3 linked regions of the Caenorhabditis elegans genome follow. The protein of the gene in region 3 interacts with the protein of the main gene of each other region in a pairwise test. Each region holds a gene or a part of one and is shown on either strand. Other genes may lie near its edges.

Region 1 (4,838 bases), on a different chromosome or scaffold from region 3:
GAATTTTTCGAATTTTACCCCCTTGTCACCGATTCTCAGTCCCAATGTCACCTTGTCTTAGGTGTACTACCTTTCATTACTAACTTCCGAATACATTTTCTTCGCCTCCTTTTCCCCATTCTTCTTTTTTTTCTACTCAACCTTCCGAGACACGACTACCTATGTGTTGTCGTCGATTTGGCGGGTCACTTGAACTTTTGCGTTTGGCCATGGAAAGATTGGCGAGGCAGGAGGGGGGACAAAAGGAGGCCTGTTTTGCATATTACCTTGAGAAACGTCGGGTACGACAAGCATAGCATTTTTTGGGTAGTTTTTTCTGAGAGTGATTGTAGGGCTTTTTTGGAAGTCCTTTGAAACCAGTATATATATATATATTTTAGTCAGCTTTAGGTTTTTTTTTTTTTTTTTCGGGCCAAGGCAGATGGTGAAGTTAAGGCTAAAATATATGTCAGGGCCAAAAAGTGGAGACCCAGAAAGTTGAGCCTTCAAAAACTAAGCCATTTAGGCTAACTTTTACTTTCTTTATTTAGGCATTTAGGCGGTTGAGCCCTTGAAAGCCGCATCTCCATTTTTTCCGCTCCTTGAGGTTAGGCTTATTTTAAAATCCTTGAGGTCAGGCTTATCATCCTTCAAAGTTTGAGACCAAGAAGGTTAAGCCCCGTAGTTGAAGGATAATTCTGAGCCCACGAACGCCAAGCCCCAAAGAAGCCCAAAGTAATGGCTGGGCACCTGAAGTCTAAGCCTTTAGGCTGCGCTCTTAGCTTAATGCCCTTCTTCAAAAACTGAGTCCCTCGGTACAGACTAAGCTTTTAGGTTACCCTTTAGCTTTTAGGCAAGCTCGGGCCTAATTTCAGGCTTAGCTTCAGACTCAAAATTACGAGATTTCCCTCAACGTAATTCGAAAAAAATTGATTAGACTAGGTATCTCGCGCCGTGCGTATTGTTGTAAACTCTTCATTTTTCGCTCATCAATATCTCCGAAAACCCCGGGACCCCGAGGTCTATCCTAGATAGCAAGATACGCAGACGCACACATGTGTATACATATGCTATTGGGCGAGAAATAGCGTCTCTTCTTTTTCTTCTTCTCTTGGGAGCTACTTTTCGAGGTCCGAGCTGCTGCAGCTCGAGCTGGGTGCTCGAGCTGACCGCGGACCCCACTTCTCGTGACCGCCTATCTTGTTTTTTTCTGTGTTGCTGTTCTCGGATAAATTTGGGATTGGAATGTTTCTTTGGGGTCTAGCCTGTTTCAACGGAAATAAGTGAAAAATTGTTTGCTGATTTTCTTAATTTTTTCACTATTTGCTGATGCTATTTTTGTAAATTCGGTAGCTGAAAATTTCTGGTACCTGGTAACCGTGAACTATACCATATGGAAAAGTTTGAAAATTGGAGGTTTTAGGCCATTTTCGGCTATTAAACTTTTTCCGATTTTTCGAATAATCTAGCACGTTTTAGCGAAATGTTTTTTTTTTGATTAAGCTTGATTTTTTCTATTAATTTCTCAATTTTGCAATAATTTTCTCCACCTTTTTTCAACCTCCCATAGCACTCCAAATACTCTGCTCTTCCACAAAAAATTTACCCCCCCCTCCTGAGCCCCCACAATTATACCTATGCTTCCTTCCGCCTCCCGGTGCCATGAGCACCAACCACAAATTGCTCTCCATTTTTGCTCCACGACACGCCCAACCGTCAACAGCTTAGATTACTGTTTTTGTTCCTATTTACGAACTAAAGTTTTCAATTTTTTTCTCCTTCTCGTTTGTTCGGATCTTTTTTGTGCTGCTCATTGCTGTTAACGTTTTGAGTTTTTTTTCAGACTTCAACTCGAAAAAGTTCCAATTAGTGTTCATAAAAAGAAGGAATCGAGATTGGATTGGATGGTAACAACCTTTTGAAGAAGCGGCGAACAATGAACGACAGTTGCAGTTGGGACCAGCTATGGGTAAGTTTTTATTGAATCCTTGGTAAAAACTAAAATTTAAAATAAGAAAACAGGCTACTAAAATGAAAAAACCGCGGGTCTAAAAAAATGGCCAAAATCACCAAATGTTGAGCTGAATTTTTTACGATTCTAAACCGTGAATCCTCCTTTTTTCCTAGTTCAACATTTCAAAAAATCTACTGATTAAAAGTATGTACATATGTGCCTAAAATTGTAATGTTATGCACTTCACACTGTGAAAAGGTTAGAAGGTTTCCACCAAAATGAGAAAAATGGCACGAAACTTCAGATTTTCAAAATTGGGCGCTGCTTCAAATTGCTGAACTTTTAAAAAATATGTCAAAGTTCCAAGATACCAGGATTATGCCTAATTTGGAAAAAATTGGAAATATAAAATTTTTCCAAATTCTGTTACAGCTCTAAAGCACCCACGCCACGAATTTCCAGAACCTAGAATTTTTCGAGACCGCCGCAGTTTCAAAACTCCAAAATTTGACGAAATTCCGGGCCCAACCACTTTAAGGATTATTTTCTGGGAATATGCAAAAATAGGGATTTCAATTGATATCATGGCAAGACGTCCGCAGGGTTTTGCGCCGCACTATATTTTATTTGCAATTGCCTGGGTGGGGCGCGAAACCCGTTAGATGTCGGACCATAATATCATTTGTATCGATATTGGGGTACTGATACTGGCATGATCACAGATGGGCGGTCCCGATACTTTTTGAAATTCGGTAAAATTCCGAAATTTCTAAAGTTCGGATGAATTTGAAATTTGGCGTTTGCCAACTTCTAGTGCAATTTTATAGTTTCGATGTGGAAAATCCTTGGATTTTTCTCAAATTTTTAATAAAATCTAATGATCCCCCCCCTCCCCCCCACCAAACATTTCTACTCGTTCCTACATACATTTTCGCATATCACATATACCTTCTCGTCTCCCGCATACATAATTTAGTAGTTGTAAGCAAGATCGGGGGGTGGCGGGCGATCACAAAGTAACGGCGGAAGCGGCTCACCCACCCTCCGAACACACTTGAATTAGTCATTTGTTGCTAATGTAGAGGTGGATACTAATAAGGAGTGGCGGGAGGTGTATAGAGAGAGTGAAAGAGAGAGAGAGAGAGAGAGAGAGAGACGCAGAATTAAAAAACAGGGTTACCTAGTGGGTTTGCTGGGCGCACGTTAGTATGTTTTGGTAAATGCGCTCTAATTTTAAAATTCAAAAATGGAGTGGAAATTTCTATAATATATTTTAAAAACATTTTTTTTTATTAAATTGGTCCGTTCACACTGATTATGCCTACTTTTTTAAGACGTTGTATTTTTAAAAATTGATTTCAAAAAAATTAATTTTCTACTCTCTCTCAAAAACTTCTCTTAAAAACTACAAAATCCGATTTTTTTTTCGCCAAAGTTTCTTATCAGTTTACAGAAAAATTGTGAACATTTCAGAAATGCCAGTATGACACATCTTTTTGAACATATCAGTTTGTGCTTGAATTTGATTCAGAAAAACAGCAAAATTTTTTTTCTTTCAAATTTTCCCAATACTTCAGCCAGTTTTTTGTCGTTTATAACAGTAATCTACCGCAGAGATACAAGCTTATAGAACTTAAAGCCGAGAGAGTGTGGGACGAGGGGAGAGTGCAGACTGTCTTCAATTTCTAGTGCTCAAAATTTGAGAGCATGTAACTTGAGAAATGAATTCTGAAAATTGGATTTTCTATCGATTTACTCTTTAAATTTTCAATTAGGGCTCCCATGTGGGTGCCGCAAACGCCGCCCTCACGCCGGGATCCGAAATCTTAATAGCAATGCGCGAAACCCAAAAAATGTCGGATCGCGGCGCCTACATGGGAGCCCTGGTTTTAATATAATAATGGTTCCGAACAGTTTTATTAATAAAATTGCACAAACTTTCTGATCGTCGGTTCTCCGCTCTTTCCTTATCGTTCACTTCTCGCCAATTTAATAGGCAAAAGCGGTAGTTGGGGAAGGGCGGAAAGCGCAAATAAACACAGCTTCACTCTCTTTTTCTCCCTTTTTCGGCACCAAAATCGTACTTTCTGTGATTGTATTTGTGTTTAGCAGGGAATTATCAATAAGATTAGAAGGTTTTTTAAAAAGAAAATTTTTTGTGGGGTCCCTGTAACCTTGGATGTAATTTTATAACATGGTGCATCGACTGAAAACTACACTAGCAATTTTTAAGTTTACGGTTGAAACTTGTCACTTTTACATACATATTAAGGGTTATCAGTATATTATTCATTCAAAATTTGTGCTAGTAAAGTGAAATTTTTTCTCTGTTTGAAAAAATATGATAAAATGCCAAAAAGAACGTCATTTCCTATGACAAATTTTGTCCGATGCACCATGTTCAAAAAATTTCTTTGGCTCTCACATATTTTTCAGGTTTTACCGCCAAACTTATCGGACTTTTCCAGTCGATGCACCATGTTCGGATTTATTTTTCTAGACAAAATTATTGCTGCTCCTTCAAAAAATATCGATTTTTTTACCTGATGCACCATGTTCAAGTTTTCTGAGAAAAATTTCTGTAATAGTCGAAAAGTTACCGAGAACATTTCAAAACGAAAATGTCATTCTGCTTCCGTTCCCCATTCCCCCCTACTTCTTCAGCCTTACTGTCAATCCATTTCAATTCTACAACCATTTTTCTTCATCTCCCCTCATTTTCCCTTCCTCCTCCCCCTTCTAACTTCTTCTTCTTCTTCTAGTCGCGTCGTCAATCGGTGTTGGGGTCGACAATTCATTGTATATGTAGATCACATTGCATTCGGATTGCGCCCTTCCGTCCTGGCGATAGTTTCTAGGACGCCGCGCCTTGGACACTCACCGCACCTTTTTTCTGCAAAGTTTG
Region 2 (7,158 bases), on a different chromosome or scaffold from region 3:
CTTTCAAAACTTCAAGCCAGGCGTGATCTCATCATGATGCGGCAAACCGTTTCAGTGGCGGTCTACCTCTCAATTTATGAACTAGGAGCATTATTAATCAGAGTTTTTCCGGTAACACGTTTAATTTAAAACATGAGTTTAAAAAAATATTATCATTTTTGCAGACATTCTACGCAGGCCTTCCGGATTTGGTGCATAAAAGTTATTTTTACATCCGCTACGAGTCAATTCCACCCATGACTTTTTTCGTTTACTATTTGGAAACCGGAAGCACGCGTCGAATGCTTAAACGATTTTTGAAATTCGATGGATCAAACTTTGCGTCAGCAGCGAATCAAACAGTTGTACCAGTTGGTGCAAAACAACAGACGAGGGCCGTCATAAACCCACATTCTTAAGCAAGTATAAAAACTCATAATTTTTATAGAAATTATCATGTCTTTAACTGAATTGAGATGCTTGTTTTGTACTGTTTTAAAAAATTGCAATGACTAAATAAAATTGAACGTCGTAATTTTTGAGCTAACAAAATGTTTATTGAATCAATGTAACTGAAACAAACAAAATGTCATAGATGTTGGAAGTAAATAAATAATTAATTAATTAATTAATTAGGCAACAATTGAATTGTAAAAAATGAATGAAAAAGTGTGAAATTGGTTGACCTATTTGAGATTTTTGATAGAGGATTTTGTACAACGGTTCTGTCCACAATTATTAATAGGATCTACATCAACTTTGATGGAATTACAATATCCAACACAGCCATAACTCCGTTAAGACCGTAACCAATGTTATCCTCATTTGTGCTATCCTCAACAGTCCAGAAGTAGTTGCGGATTTGTGACTTCCATCGGAGAACATTCTGTAATAGTAATTTGAAATTTACCGTAAAATAGGGAACTCTACTAACAGTGAAGAAAGTGTTTTGAAGGCTGTAATTGTCGGTTTCGGAGTGGCAAGATGCATGAATACGGTCTACCAGGAGATGGCCACGTGACGTCATTGGCGAGTAGATTCCAGTTTTTTGCACAATATTGATGTCAAGAACTTTTACGCGTTGATACATTTGGGACTTCTGAAAATTTTGCTGTTCAGTTACAAAATGTTTTCATATATCGAAAATCTGATATTACCTTGCGGTGTGCAATGTAGAAACAGTCTCCAATGTTTACTCTCTCAGCTGGTACTGGGTTTGCATTTATATTCTCATCCTCAGAATAGGGCACAGAACATTGAGTTACAAAGACCAAATGCTTCTCGGTCAATGAGAATGTCTCTCCGTTGTCAAGTGTGAATCTGTAATTTGTATTGTTAAAACGGAATGCTCAAACCAAAGGTATTACTCTACAAAATCTGCAACTTGTTTTGGATCACGATGAAGCCAGTATTGAACCGGGATAAATGTTACTTGAGAGCCATTCTTGTCGAGAGCCTGAACCCAGTCTCCCACTGCGAGCTCATCCATACGTTTGAATCCTCCATTATAAACATTGACCATAGCGTCTCCAGGGAAGCAATAATACAATTCTGAAATGTGGGTTGGGAATTATTATTAAGGTGTAAAAACTTACGTAATCCAGAAGGTGCGAATCCCATTGGAGCATATCCAGCTGGTGCAGCAGGCTGGAAAAATAAATGAAGTTCGGAAAATTATTATATTAATTATGAAAAAAATAGTTTGCTGATTATATTGGTTAATGGAATGAGAGAGCGAAGGGTGATAATAATACAATTCATGAACTTATTTTATTGTAACACAATTTTTTAAATATTAAAGGTGGATTAGCGCCAGTGGGGAAATTGTTAAAAACCACTCCTTTGGTCCTAAAATGACCAAATATCATGATAAAACATTTCAAAACATTTTTGAAAATTTTTAATTTAATGTCAAAAAGTGGCAATTACTCAGTTTTTCCACTCATAATTTTGGAAGTCGACCGGAAAAAAAAATTTTTTTCGACTTTTTCATGTTCTAATTTTGTTTGAATTCATTGTATTGAAACATTGTAGGGGTCGAAGCATGCAACATTTCTTTAAATTTGCTCTAAAGCTCGTATTTTTCAAAATGTTGACAATTTGCCAACACTTTGACCGGAAATTATGAAAAATTTTTTGGAGTGTTTTATTATGACATTTGGTTGTTTTGGATCATTATAAGTGGATTTAGACAAAATCCCCACTGGCGCTACTTCACCTTTAAGAGTGGAATTGTATGATTACACTTATAATGATCCAAAACGACCAAAAAATAATTTTCAGATTTTTCATAATTTCCTGTCAAGGACTTGACAAATGCCAGAATTTTGGAAAATATGAGCTTTTCAGGAAATACAAAGCAATGTCGCAAGTCCGACCCCTACAATGTTTTAATACAAATAATTAAAACAAAATTAGAGTATAGAAAAATGTAGGGGAAAAAATTATTTTTTGGTCGACTTCCAAAATTCCGAGTGGGAAAAGCTGAGTAATTGTTACCTTTTGGCAATAGATAAAACATTTTTTAAAAAATTTTAAAAGGTTTATTATGATATTCGGTCATTTTGATAGTTTTTACATTTTCCCCACTGGCGCTACTCCACCTTTAATATTAAGAAGTATAAATGAAATTAATAAATTATTAAGTTATTTAATTAATTAGATTATTAAATTAACAGAACTGAAAAATAAAAATGGAAAGCTAGTTATCCAAAAAAAAACAGTATGCTTTTCTTACCACTGGATTTTGGACCACTTGAGGTTGGAATGCCTGTGGCTGGAATCCCTGCGGCTGAAATCCTTGTGGCTGGAATCCCCCCTGTGGCTGGAAACCTTGTGGTTGAACAAATCCTCCTTGCTGTCCTGGTGGTGGTGGTGGTTGAGGGTTTGTTTCTTGAACAAATCCTTCTTGAGCGACAATTTCCTCAATAATCACTTCTTGTCCATTCTGAACACCTTGTGGGACCACAAGCTGTCCAGTCTCAACTGGGGTCTCCACATCTACAGTTGGAGCTTGGTGAACGACAAATCGATGCCCGTTGACGTGGCGAATCGTGTTCTCAGAGTTTAAGATTTCAGCTGAAATTTAGAGTGTTTTTTAAAACAAGTCAATTTTTTCGTTTTGACTACAATTCTGTTGTTTTGTTTCACCCCAATATTACTTACGGACTGATCGATCAACTTTCTGAAGATCCAAGCATGAGAATCTTTTAATATTAACTTCGTAAAAGATTTCTCCTTCGGAATCAATCTTCTTCTCTACATTGCTAATATAGTCGAATGCATAAGGCTTATTATCTGCGAATATCTCTCCTCCAACAACAATTTGTCCGCCAGACACAGTTGCCACGCCTCGATCTATCGATGCACGCAATGGAGCGTAGGTGCAGCACTTGTAGGCAACACTGAAGCGAAATAGGTTGCAAAATTTTCAGAACTTAAAGGTGGAGTAGCGCCAGTGGGGATTTTGTCTAAAGGCACTTATAATGATCCAAAACAACCTAATATCATAATAAAAAACTCCAAAAATTTTTAGATTTTTCATAATTTCTGGTCAAAGTTTTGGAAAATTGCCAAAATTTTGAAAAATACGAGCTTTTGAGAAAATTTGAAGAAATACGGTATTTTTTGACCCCTACAATGTTTTAATACAAATAATTTGAACAAAATTAAAACATAAAACATGTCGAAAAAAATTTGTTTTTTAGTCTACTTCCAAAATTATGAGTAATTGCCACTTGTTGACAGTTAAATCAAAGGATTAAAGGACGATCCGTTCTTCAAGTGCTATGCACTGCGGACCTGGGATTCAGGTACACTGCCTGGTGGTGATCTTTCTGGGCTGTAATTTAAGCCACGTCCTAGCCGGGGACTGTGGCCGATAATCCAGTCGTGGATTGCTCCACTTCCCAATAGAGGCTGGGTGAACCTAGGGGTGAGGCCGGACTTGAACTCGTGACCTCCAGACTGCTAGCGGCCACCACTACCGACTGAGCTATCTGCCCAATTTTTTGAAAAGTTTTATCATGATATTTGGTCATTTTGGGACCAAAGGAGTGGTTTTTAACAATTTCCCCACTGGCGCTACTCCACCTTTAAGTCTGGTCTAGTGCTTACATTTTGGTGGTAGATGCATTCATGACTGGTGCAATTCCTCCAACCCATTGGTCCTCTGGGTTGCATGATAATGATTGGAATTCTTGTTCACAGCTCTGAAATATTTCATTAATAAAATAACTTTTTCATCTTTTTACTGATCTCCTTTTTTCTTTGATTCTACATATGGGTCATAAAAACCTGCTATGATGTTTCATTCATTTTCTCATCATTTTTCAATTAGCTTTTCCCTTTCATTCTCTATCACTCACTGCTTGCTGCTGCGCGTAAACTCTCGGGTCGGCCGCATCAAATGTATGAATAGCCAAAGGATCATCACGTAGGAAGCCGTCCGATTGTTGATCGATTCGGAAGAATTTGGCGTTGGTTGGAAGTTGGTGGCCATTTGAATGCCATCCAAAACAAGTTGGTCTTGCGCATCCGAGAATCGGTTGACCAGATGAAAGCACCTAGAATAAGTAGGGTAATTTGTCATGTTAAGTATGCTTTGGCGGAATGTTTATAACTATTATGTGTAAACGATTGCAGAAAGTTGAATGTTTTATAAGTTTTAAAAATGTCAAAATCGGTATGGTGTGTATTATACCCCGCCATTTTAAAAATTAATGTTTTAACCTATAAAAAAAACGTGTGAAAATTCAGGCTTAGGAAAACGCCATTCCTCAGCCTAACAAGTTAAATGGGTATCACGTTAAATTTAAGTACTACTATGGTGATAAACTTTCTATAATGAATATCTTATAATAATAAGGGATAATTTAATTCATTTTACTACAAGTGATTAATAATTATGAATCACAATTAACACTTCATACACACGTTTCATTATATAACTCTAAGCTTTGTAAATTGAGTCGCGTTTGTGACATTAGGCGTAGTACACTATTTAATGAAAAATATGCAAAAATGTTTCATATTGGTTCAAATTACTTGTACTTGTACTGTACTGTACTTGAACTGTACTGTCAACTACTTATAAAATTACTTGGGTACTTGTGAAGTATACCTGGACTAAAAATATACGCCATTTTTTAAAGTGAACATCCGTAACCCTTTTTGTCCATATTAGGCTCAGGATTAATGTTTTTTGAAGCTTGAAAGTGCAAGTTAGTTTTATATTATTTATCATTTTTTGAAATAAATAAATGGTATACTACAATAGTACCAAAATTTCAAAAAAAAAAACGGCTAACTTTAGCTAAAAATAGTATTAGAGAAATAAACCTAGAACCCGTACTCTGTTTTTCTATGTAGTTTAGGCCAAAATAACATTTAGCGGGTGTTTTTGTAAAAGCTTTGATTATTTTTATTACATTTCTTTTTCTCTTACCTCTAAACTATATGGAATTGTTGAATCTCCGCACTCCGATCCATATGTGAATTTATAGCTAGAAGACAACAAAACTAGTGCAAGTAAAGAAAACCTCATTGTATCTGAACAAATTCAAGACTATAATATTAGAATAGATAATTGTAGAAGTGGCAAGAAAATGATCTTTCAAAAAATATTAAAGAAGTGGAGAAAAAAAAAGAAAAAACTTATGAATTAGAATGAAATTAAGTGGTGAAGCATCCAGTTTAAATATCCAAGCGATTTCTTATCAAAATGGGCGGGACTACCTGGCCATCGTTTATCAAAACGCCTACCTTCTTGGATCATCCTAGCATCTACTTTGCTTCTTATTTTCTCTGTCCGGCAAGGTTTTGGAAAAAAAAGTACCATATCCTACAAAAAACTGGCCAGCGATTATGTTTTTTTTTCGAACCGCCTACGTCTGATTTATACGATATAAGGATCTACTTTGCTTTTCATTTTATTTTTCCGCCAAACTTTTGAAAGAGCTTATCTAATATCCTACAAAAAGCTGGTCAGCGACTATGTTTTTTTGCAAACTGCCTATATCTGATTTATACGATATAATTATTCACACACTCGTTATAGAAGAACAAAATTAAGAACCGCGGTGACTGATATAACCTGATGTGGATTCATTTGTTATATTATGGACATAAAATATTTTGGAACATATGAGACGTCGGAAACATGAAGACAATAAAGAAACAAAATTTAAAGCGAGTTTTAAAAAAGATTCGCAGAAATTCAAAATAATTGAGAGAAAAAGAACATATGGCTGGATGACACGTGACAAAAAAGTAGAAAAAATTGGTGAAACAAGAGGACTTCACAATATCATTTTAGAGTTTTGCCATAGCGATTCCAAATATTTCGCCGAGTGCCTCGAATACTGATAATGATAAACAACAAAGTCGTCAAATGAGTGCTTGTCGAATCCTTCGTTATGGATGAGACCAAGTCCGACGCAATTCGACAAAACGCCTGTAAGAAAACTAGCTAAAAAAAATAAACAAGAAAACTAGCGATAAAAAATTTCAAATATCATTTGGAGAAACTTGTTCAGAATAGATTGCTTTAAAAAATTTTTAACAGCGAGCCAATTTTTGCAGAATTTTGGCAACTTTGAATGTTCTTGAAAAATTCTATTTCTTTGAAAAAGTCAATTTTTTTCAAGTTTATCTTTCCAAAATATTTTAAAGTCTTCCAGTGTGTCTTTTCAGATTTAAACCTATTAAACTATCAAAAAAATCCACTTTGAAACAAATTTTACGGACTGTTTACAGGCCAAAATTAACAAGCTTCGAAGTGCTTCACTGTATCTAAATTTTAAGCCGTAATCTATTTAAAATATTTTTCAATAAGTTTTATTCAACAGTTTGGCTATTTTTTTGACATTTTGATGCTTGCTGATTTAACCACAAACCACAATGACCACAACAGTATTACAAAATATAATTGTTTGCAAGTTGAATCTGATATTTTGCAACATCCTGGCTTTCCTGTTAATATAAACAAGGTTTTCTTATCAATGGAAACTCGCTTTGAATTTTAGTTCCGTATGCAAAGCTTGAGAAAGATTCTGGGAATACATGATGAAATTATAAATTTCGAAAAAACTAGCTTCTGGGTTTCTTTTTTCTTCCTTGTTTATTTTTAAAAGCGTTAAATTTTGCTAAGTGGCACTGTCTGTGAGATATTCCAAATTA
Region 3 (8,023 bases):
AGAGTCAATGGAGCACCGTATGTTTGGTTGTTGACAAGGAGTCCCTGGTAGCAAGCAGTTGGGAAATCTGGAAGAACTGCTGGTCCTGGTTTCACATTTGGATCCTTGAGGTTGCAGTTGTCCGCGTTGTTACAGCAGCAGGCAGTGACTTCTCTGTCACTCCAAAGTGGACGACAAGTATCCTTAATCTCAAGAGATTTGCAGATAGTATCAGCAACACAGTGATAAGTAGTGACATTGAAACCTCCGACGATTCCAGTCAATGAAGCGCATTGTCCGGAACAATAGGTCTCAGCTCCGAGGCTCAACGAATTGTAGGTAGATTGTAGACCAACGTAGCACTTGAGTGGGTTAGGAGTACGTGGTGGAGAAACAGTTGGGTCGAGGCAAGCATCGGTAGAACAGCAGCATCCGGAAAGTCCATTCTCAATGGTAGTACAATTGTTGTTCATTCCAAGTTGATAGCATGTGCTGACTGGATCGCAAGTGTAAATTGTAGCGTTGGTGAGAGCTCCATTGTACATGGTTGAGAGAGTAGCAGAAGCGCATTCTCCCTTACATGCTTGCCAACCAGCGATGGAAATTGGCATGTTATTGACGTAAAGACCAGAGAAGCAAGCGATTGGATAATCACGGAAGTTCGTAACTGGCATTGAAGTATTGATCTTTCCACCATATCCAGCCAAATCGACGTTGCAGTTGTTGTAGTTGTCGCAGCAGCATCCCGTAACTGTGGTATCATATGGAAGTGGTTTGCACTCGTCGTACATCTCGAGTTGTCTGCAGAATTGGGTTGGCACGCATCCGAAGATAGCAACTGGGTCTTGGTTGAGGGTAGCTTGAATTGAGGCGCACTTTCCTGGGCAGAAGATTTCAGATCCAGTGGCCTTTCCTTGAGCGTAGATTCCAGCGAAGCACTTGCGGAATCCAGATGGTACAGTCTTGTTCTTTGGTGGATCAAGGCAGAGATCAGTGTTACAGCAGCATCCGGAGACTCCTGGGATTGGGGAGGCACACCAGTTGTTCATGTTGAGAGATTGGCAAACAGTGCTTGGGTCGCATCCGTAAAGAGTTGCTGTGGTGGCAACTCCGTTGAGTGTAGTGTTCAATGAGATGGACGCACATTGTCCCTGGCAAGCTCCGAGAATGACTGGAGTAGATGGAACACCGTTGACATAAAGTCCAGTGTAGCAAGCAATAGCATAGTCGACTGAAGTTGGTGGTGGTGGTGGAGTGATGGTGGTATTGGCAATGTTACAGTTGTTGGCATTGTTACAGCAGCATCCAGTGACTTGGTTGTCATTCCAAACTGGTTTGCAGTTGTCGTAGAGTTCAAGGGAGTTACAGATCGAGTTTGGCATGCAGTGATAGGTGTTGACTTGGAATCCACCGACAACTCCTGAGAGGGATGAGCATTGTCCGTTACATGGAATTTGAGCTCCAACGTTAACTGCGCTTCCATTAACAATGTAGTTCGAGCTGATACCAGCATAGCACATAAGTTGGTTTCCTGGGTTACGAGCTGGATAGACTGTTGGATCAATACAGGCATTGGTGTTACAGCAGCAGCCGGTAATTCCGTTCTCAAGAGTGGAGCACTTGTTCAGAATTTTCAAATTACGGCAAACGCGGGATGGATCGCAGGTGTAAAGAGCAGCGGTTCCGGCTTGTCCATTGAATTGAGATGTGATGGATACTGAGACACACTCTCCTTGGCAAGTCTGCCATCCAGCCGAGCTGTAAGCGGTTCCGTTGATGAAAAGTCCGGAGTAGCAAGATATTGGAGCATCATTGAGTGGAGTGAGTGGAATGGTGGTGTTGATCACGTTGGCAAGATGGGTCTGTCGAACGTTGCAGTTATCAGCATTGTCACAGCAGCAAGCTCGGAATTCTGGGTAGTATGGCTCCATGCGGGCGCAGGAATCGTAGAGCTCGAGGGAACGGCATAGAGAGTGTGGAACACAAGCGAAGAGGGTCACGTTGTCATTGGCAATGCGAGCGTTAACCGAGGCACACTTGCCGTCACAGAGTTGTTCAGCTCCGGTTTGAAGTGATGGCACGCTGGTAGAATAGAGCCCGACGTAGCACTTGAGTGGTGGAGTTGGAACGGTCTTTCCTCTGTTCGGATCGAGGCAAGCATCACTGTCGCAGCAGCAAGCGGTGACTCCAGCTTCTGGGGAAGTACAGTTGTTATGAACTTTAAGTTGGTAGCAGACAGACGATGGATCACAAGTGTAGAAGGAAGCCGTGTGCAAAGTTCCGTTGATCGTAGCATTGATGCTGACAGAGGCACATTCACCGAAGCAAACGGAGAATTCCATTGGAGTTTGGTTGAATCCGTCAACGATAAGACCAGCTGGGCAGGTGATTGGATATTCAACACGTGGACGTCTTCTTCCGGGATTGTTGATTGGAGGTCTTGGAACAACTTGATTCAAGTTGCAGTTAGGTCCATTGGTACAACAACATCCAGTGATATCTCTATCATACCAGAGTGTGCGGCAGCTGTCATAGACGTACAAGCTGTTACAGACGTATGTTGGGACACAAGCGTAAACAGTGACGTTAGCGTTGGCAAGTGTTGAAGTAACAGATGCGCAGTTTCCTTCGCAGTATTGTTCTCCTCCGGCATTGAAGATGGTATTTCCCTTCAAATCATAGGAGTAAGCTCCGACGTAACAGAGGTTTCCATCTCCATATGGTTTACGTGGTGGGGTGGATGTTGGATCGAGGCAAGCATCGCTGTCACAGCAGCAAGTCTCGAATCCTTGTTCTTGTTGGTGGCATCTGTTTGTTGAGTTCATCATTCTGCAGATGTAAGATGGGTCACACGTGTAAAGAGAAGCAGTGGTAGCAACTCCGTTGTATGTGGTGTTCAAGTTGACAGCAACACAATCTCCCTTGCAAGCAGTCCATCCTCCGTCAGAGATTTGGCTTCCTCCAATGAAAATTCCAGAATAGCAAGCGCGTGGCATCTCATTTGGTGCAAGTGGTGGAATGGTGACGTTGAATCCAGACGTAGCAACGTTGCAGTTGTCGAAGACATCACAGCAGTACGCGTTGACGAATCTGTCCAAGTAGAAAGTGTTGTTCGAGTTGTCAAGTCCAAGGGAACGGCACATAGATCTTGGAGCGCAATGGAAGGCGGTGACATAGTCGGATCCGACAACAGCGGAAACGGTGGCACAATATCCGTCGCAAAGAACTTCAGCTCCTGCGATGTTTCCCTTGTGCTGGGTGCTGATACCGACGTAGCATTTGAGAGCTTTTCCTGGAACACGGTTGTAGGTTGGATCAATACACTCATTGGAGTCACAGCAGCAAGCAGTGAGAGAGTTGTCAATGGTGGAGCAGTTGTTACGAAGTCCCATCGCGGCACAGGCACTGCTTGGATCGCAGGTGTAGAGAGTAGCGTAGTGAGAGTTGTTATTGACGGTTCCTCCAAGGGAAACAGACACACATTCTCCGTCGCACATGCGGTAGTAAGGCTGGCTGATGTTTTGTCCGTTGAGATGGATTCCTTCGTAGCAGACAATTCTTGGGTCACGACGAGCTGGGATGGCAGTGACGTTGACTCCAGCTGGGGCAAGACAGTTGTCAGTTTCTGAGCAGCAGCATCCAGTGACTTGTGGGTCAGCTCCTGGGATTTGTCCACAGTTTCCGTAAGATCCTCCGAATCCGAGTCCGAAGTAGCGGCACATTCCAACTGGGGCGCAGTAGTAGACAGTTGCGTTCTTTCCGTTGACAACAGAGTTCAAGGATCCGCACCATCCATCACAGAATTGGTCTCCTCCAGTGTTGTATTTGTCTTGTGGAATAGAAACTCCAGAATAGCAACGAAGTTGTGGGCGTTGAGATCCTCTGTTTGGATCAATGCAAAGATCATTGTCGCAACAGCAAGCATTGACTCCTCCAAGAACGCTTCCGCAAGAGTTGGAGATTCCGGCTTGTTGGCACATTGTGACTGGATCGCAAGTGTAGATGGTAGCATTGTGAACTTGGTTGGCGAAGGTGGTGGTGAAGCTAGCTGAAGCACACTCTCCTTGGCAGAGTCCGTAAGCAGAGTTGGTGATGGAAACTCCGTTAACCCAGATTCCTCCGTAGCAGAGAACTGGATACTTGGCGGTAGACACAGCAGAGTTATTCACACGTCCGAGAATGTATGGATTGTTAACGTTGCAGTTGTTGCTAGCAGAGCAGCAGTACACCTCAAGTTCCTCGTCTTGTGGTGGATTGTAGGTTTGTCCTTCAGTGGAAGCAAGTCCGAATCCAGCGCAGACATCGTATGGCATGCAAGTGAAGTATGAAACTTGTTGTCCGTTGGCATTGAACCTGACACGTCCACATCGTCCTTGGCAGTTCATTTCAGCTCCGAGCCAGGTTGTTCCATTGTAAAGTCCGACAGCGCATCTGAGCTGCTTGACTGGGTAGACTGGTGGAACAACAGTTGGGTCAATACATTTGTCCATGCTGTTGCAGGCACAGCCGGTGATGAGAGCGGTTGGGACTCCATTGATGTTTTGGGTGTCAAGGTTCATGCATCCGCTGTCGAGGTTCAAAGCAGTGAAGACGTTGACTGGGTCGCAAACGAAGATCTCTCCCCATACATTGGCTCCATTGTAAGTGGTACGAATACGAGCAGATCCGCATTCTCCCAAGCATTGAGAGAAGGATCCTCCATACAAGAGAGCTCCGTTGACGGAAATTCCTTGATAGCATGTCTGGTTGTTCTTGTTCCATGGAGATGGAGTTGGTGGGTTGTTCATTGGAGCGAGGCTAGTACAATCTTGCTTGTAACAGCAGCATCCTTGAATGTTGGTTCCAGCGAGATTGGTGCAGGCGATTGGATTATTTGGGTCAATATTTGGGAAGATGCCGTCGCAAAGTCCTTGTGGCATGCAAGCGTAGGCAGCAGCGTCGTATCCGTTGTAGACTCCAGAAACACTGGTACATACATTTCCTGCGGAGCAAGTGACGGTGTCCCCTGATCCGAATCCTGGAGTAGTGTTGTTGGCATAGAATCCGACGTAGCAGAGGATATTGCTGCAAACACACAAAATCAGTATTTTACTATTTTTCTTTGATTTTCCTCCTAGGAAAATTTTGGCGATCGCCAAAAATATACTACATATGTATCAGTTTCTTATCACACGATTGGTATTTCGGAATTTAAATGCCGAGGAGCTATCGAGCCACATTTCATGGTTGTGTTGCATGCGCTATTGGCACAATCAGATAAGAAGCGCGCCCAAATGTAAAACAATTATTCCATTATTGTTATCAGTTTGACGTTGACTGTAGTCACAAATTGAAATTGGATTAAATATAGCAAAATAAAGCTTTGGAATTTTGGACTGGTTTTTGCAGTTTTCAAATTACAATATTTTATGAGAGTTTTTTTTTTAAATCAACGAATTTGAAGGTACACATTCTCAAATTGCATTTGCTTGAAAAAGTGTTAATGAAACACTCAAGATGAAAAATTGTTGTTTTGGTACTCATACAGATCTTTTAATCCAATAATTGAATGAATTGGTCCATTTTTTTTTGAAAAAGAAAGAAAGAAGATATACACCTCAATTCCTATCAGTTGTCAAAAAAACAGTGATAACAAAACTCACTTTGGGGCATTAATAACTTCGATTGGCTTTGGAATATTTTCTTCCAAGTCGACCTTGTTACACAACTCATCCTCGCAGAAGCATGATGTCTCAAGCTCACTGCTGGAGCAATCCTGTCCTTTGTTAATGAAAGCCATGAGCTTGTTCTCTTCGCATGTCAAGAGAACAAGTCCTCCGCTTGGAGATTTGACAGTTTGTTTTCTGCACAATCCTTCGCATTCTCTCTGAAGTAGTCAAATGGAAAAATATAGAATTTATATCGGTTGGACGTACCAATTCAACAGACTTTGATGTAATAACATTTTCCGATACAATTAGATTTCCGACTAAGCAGTTTTGTTTAGCACTAGCGAAACTACAACAGCCGGCAAGTGCCAGCAGGAAAATGCCCAAGCGCATCTGAAATTTGAATGTGTTAGTGGCAAATTAAATATTCAATTTCAACAAATGAAGAATAGGAAAATGATTGTTAAAACATGAGTGCGACTTCTCCGAGCGGAAAGAAGAAATTGAGTACCTGACTAATGTAAATTGAGTGAATTAAGCCTCTTATAATGTCAAAATTGTCGAAATTGGTTCATAATCGGCAATCGGTCCTTGTTAACTGTAGTTTCGATAAAACACAAAGTGGGTGGATTCTCAGAACCTTGAAGGCGAAACTTGTGAAGCAGAATACAAAATTATTGACTTCAGCTGCAAAAGAAACAAACAAAGAAAAAGAGCTTCAAAAAGGCATTTGGAGCAGGAAATTTGGTTTTATTGCACATTTTTGCGTCAATTCGTTGATTCAAAGGTGGTCTTGTGGGTTTATTGTCTCGAACTACAGTACTCGGTCATATTAGTAAGAATATGAAAGGGAAAGTACAGACAAGAGAAAGTGCGAGAAAACTTGACTGAAAAACTCAAAAAAGCCCACAGGGATGCGGAATTTGTTTTCAGATTTTTTTAACCATAAATACTGTGAAACTACGATGTAAGTAATAATTTGGTTATTTTATCTAAATTTTAAGAATTTTCCCGCTGGGGCTATTCGATTTTTAGCTTCTATCTAGTTGAGTACAGTATGCCAGTTTGAGCAGTTTGTGGGAAAAATACACCCATTTCCATAAAATCAGGTAATTTCAGAAACGCTTACTGACATTCCAAAACTACACCACTTATTGTTTTGTTTACCTTTTGCCACATCTCACTCGTTTGTTATCAGCACTGATCATAAAACACGGAAATTCGAAAGGAAATTTCAATATCAAAAAATCAAAATTCAATTTAATTATTTCTTTCTTTGAGAGCCTTGAATCTAAAAATTTTATAATGTATCTGAAACAACATTGATCGATATTTTAAAATTCCATGCTGGAAAAATTGGGTTTCATAGTGCGCACTGTGGTAATTTTAGTGCCAGTGTAATATTGACAACAGATCAACAAAAAAACTTAGTTAGCCAAATATCAGTTAAAAACACTACAATTCTTGTTTAATTTCAAGTTGTTTTCTTTGGGTTAAAGGTAGTCTAAAGGTGGCCTAAAGGTGGGTTTATTGTTTCAAACTGTAGTATTCCATCATATTAGTAAGGAAATTGCGAAAAAAAACGAAGTACGAGAAATTTTGACCGATGCCTTCTCCCGATCTTCCTTTAGCAATTTTCGAATAATTTTTTGTTTAATTTAAAAAAATCCACGGTTATACAGCTGAAATTTGAATTAATTGAAAATTGAAAACTGTGGCAACCATTAAACGCGCTCAATACCAATATGTATTAGTTGTTGCTAAAACGGAAGACCGACAAAATATGATATGTGATAGGCCACCTTTAATGGAGTGGCAATGCTTTTGTTTTGAATATTATTTTGTGTCGAGAAATAATTTTATTGTAAAGATCGCTCAACAATTAAGATTTAGAATCTTCAAAGAAAAGGAGAAAATTAAAAAAAAAGAACAAACAAAAAGTTATGCGCGAAAAGAGCACATATGTACATGAAAGAAATGAGAAAAATTATCTAAAGCTGGCCTAATGTCTAGTCAGAGCGATATACACAGCAGCGAAAAGTGCAAGAATTGAGAAGGTGATGGAAGATGAGCCCTTTGTGGTTGTGGCTGGTGATTGTGTGGTTACAATTCCTGGGCCATTGTTTGGACCAACGCAGTTATTAGTGCTACAACAGCATCCGGAGAGTCCGCCGTCAATAGAAGCACACGAGTTGGTCAAGTCTAGAATTGATTAATTTTGAATTTCGAAGAATAAATAATGGCCAGCTATGAAATATATTGGCTATACATTAAAAAAAAAAACTTACTCAAGGAGGTACAGACAGTAACTGGATCACAGGTGTAAAGTGTGAGTGTCTGGTTTCCACCATTGTATGGTGCAGTGTAAGAAATTGAGGCGCACGATCCAGCGCAAG

The links.
Region 1: the proteins of gfi-1 (region 3) and toca-1 interact in a two-hybrid assay, tested with the Caenorhabditis elegans proteins (one large-scale study listed by BioGRID).
Region 2: the proteins of gfi-1 (region 3) and wrt-4 interact in a two-hybrid assay, tested with the Caenorhabditis elegans proteins (one large-scale study listed by BioGRID).

What each region holds. Positions count from the first base shown.
Region 1 is NC_003284.9:1,518,472-1,523,309, reverse strand, and holds the start of toca-1 (Transducer of Cdc42-dependent actin assembly protein 1 homolog), read left to right. Parts: upstream 1-1,822; 5' UTR 1,823-1,915; coding exon 1,916-1,948; intron 1,949-4,838. UniProt on the Caenorhabditis elegans protein: Plays a role in protein trafficking, actin organization and embryonic morphogenesis. Potentially acts as a cdc-42 effector. May play a role in hypodermal P-cell nuclear positioning.
Region 2 is NC_003284.9:15,751,741-15,758,898, forward strand, and holds wrt-4 (Warthog protein 4 N-product), read right to left. Parts: upstream 5,530-7,158; 5' UTR 5,525-5,529; coding exon 5,426-5,524; intron 4,545-5,425; coding exon 4,347-4,544; intron 4,191-4,346; coding exon 4,096-4,190; intron 3,384-4,095; coding exon 3,145-3,383; intron 3,058-3,144; coding exon 2,717-3,057; intron 1,627-2,716; coding exon 1,575-1,626; intron 1,531-1,574; coding exon 1,347-1,530; intron 1,300-1,346; coding exon 1,137-1,299; intron 1,079-1,136; coding exon 914-1,078; intron 866-913; coding exon 728-865; 3' UTR 517-727; downstream 1-516. Other genes in the region: srxa-9 (Serpentine Receptor, class XA), read left to right, coding at 1-111, 165-398; bus-17 (Hexosyltransferase), read right to left, coding at 6,279-6,433. UniProt on the Caenorhabditis elegans protein: Intercellular signal essential for a variety of patterning events during development.
Region 3 is NC_003283.11:6,393,902-6,401,924, forward strand, and holds the start of gfi-1 (ET module), read right to left. Parts: upstream 6,031-8,023; 5' UTR 6,021-6,030; coding exon 5,895-6,020; intron 5,846-5,894; coding exon 5,622-5,845; intron 5,044-5,621; coding exon 1-5,043. Other genes in the region: bcf-1 (bacterial colonization factor), read right to left, coding at 7,630-7,829, 7,916-8,023.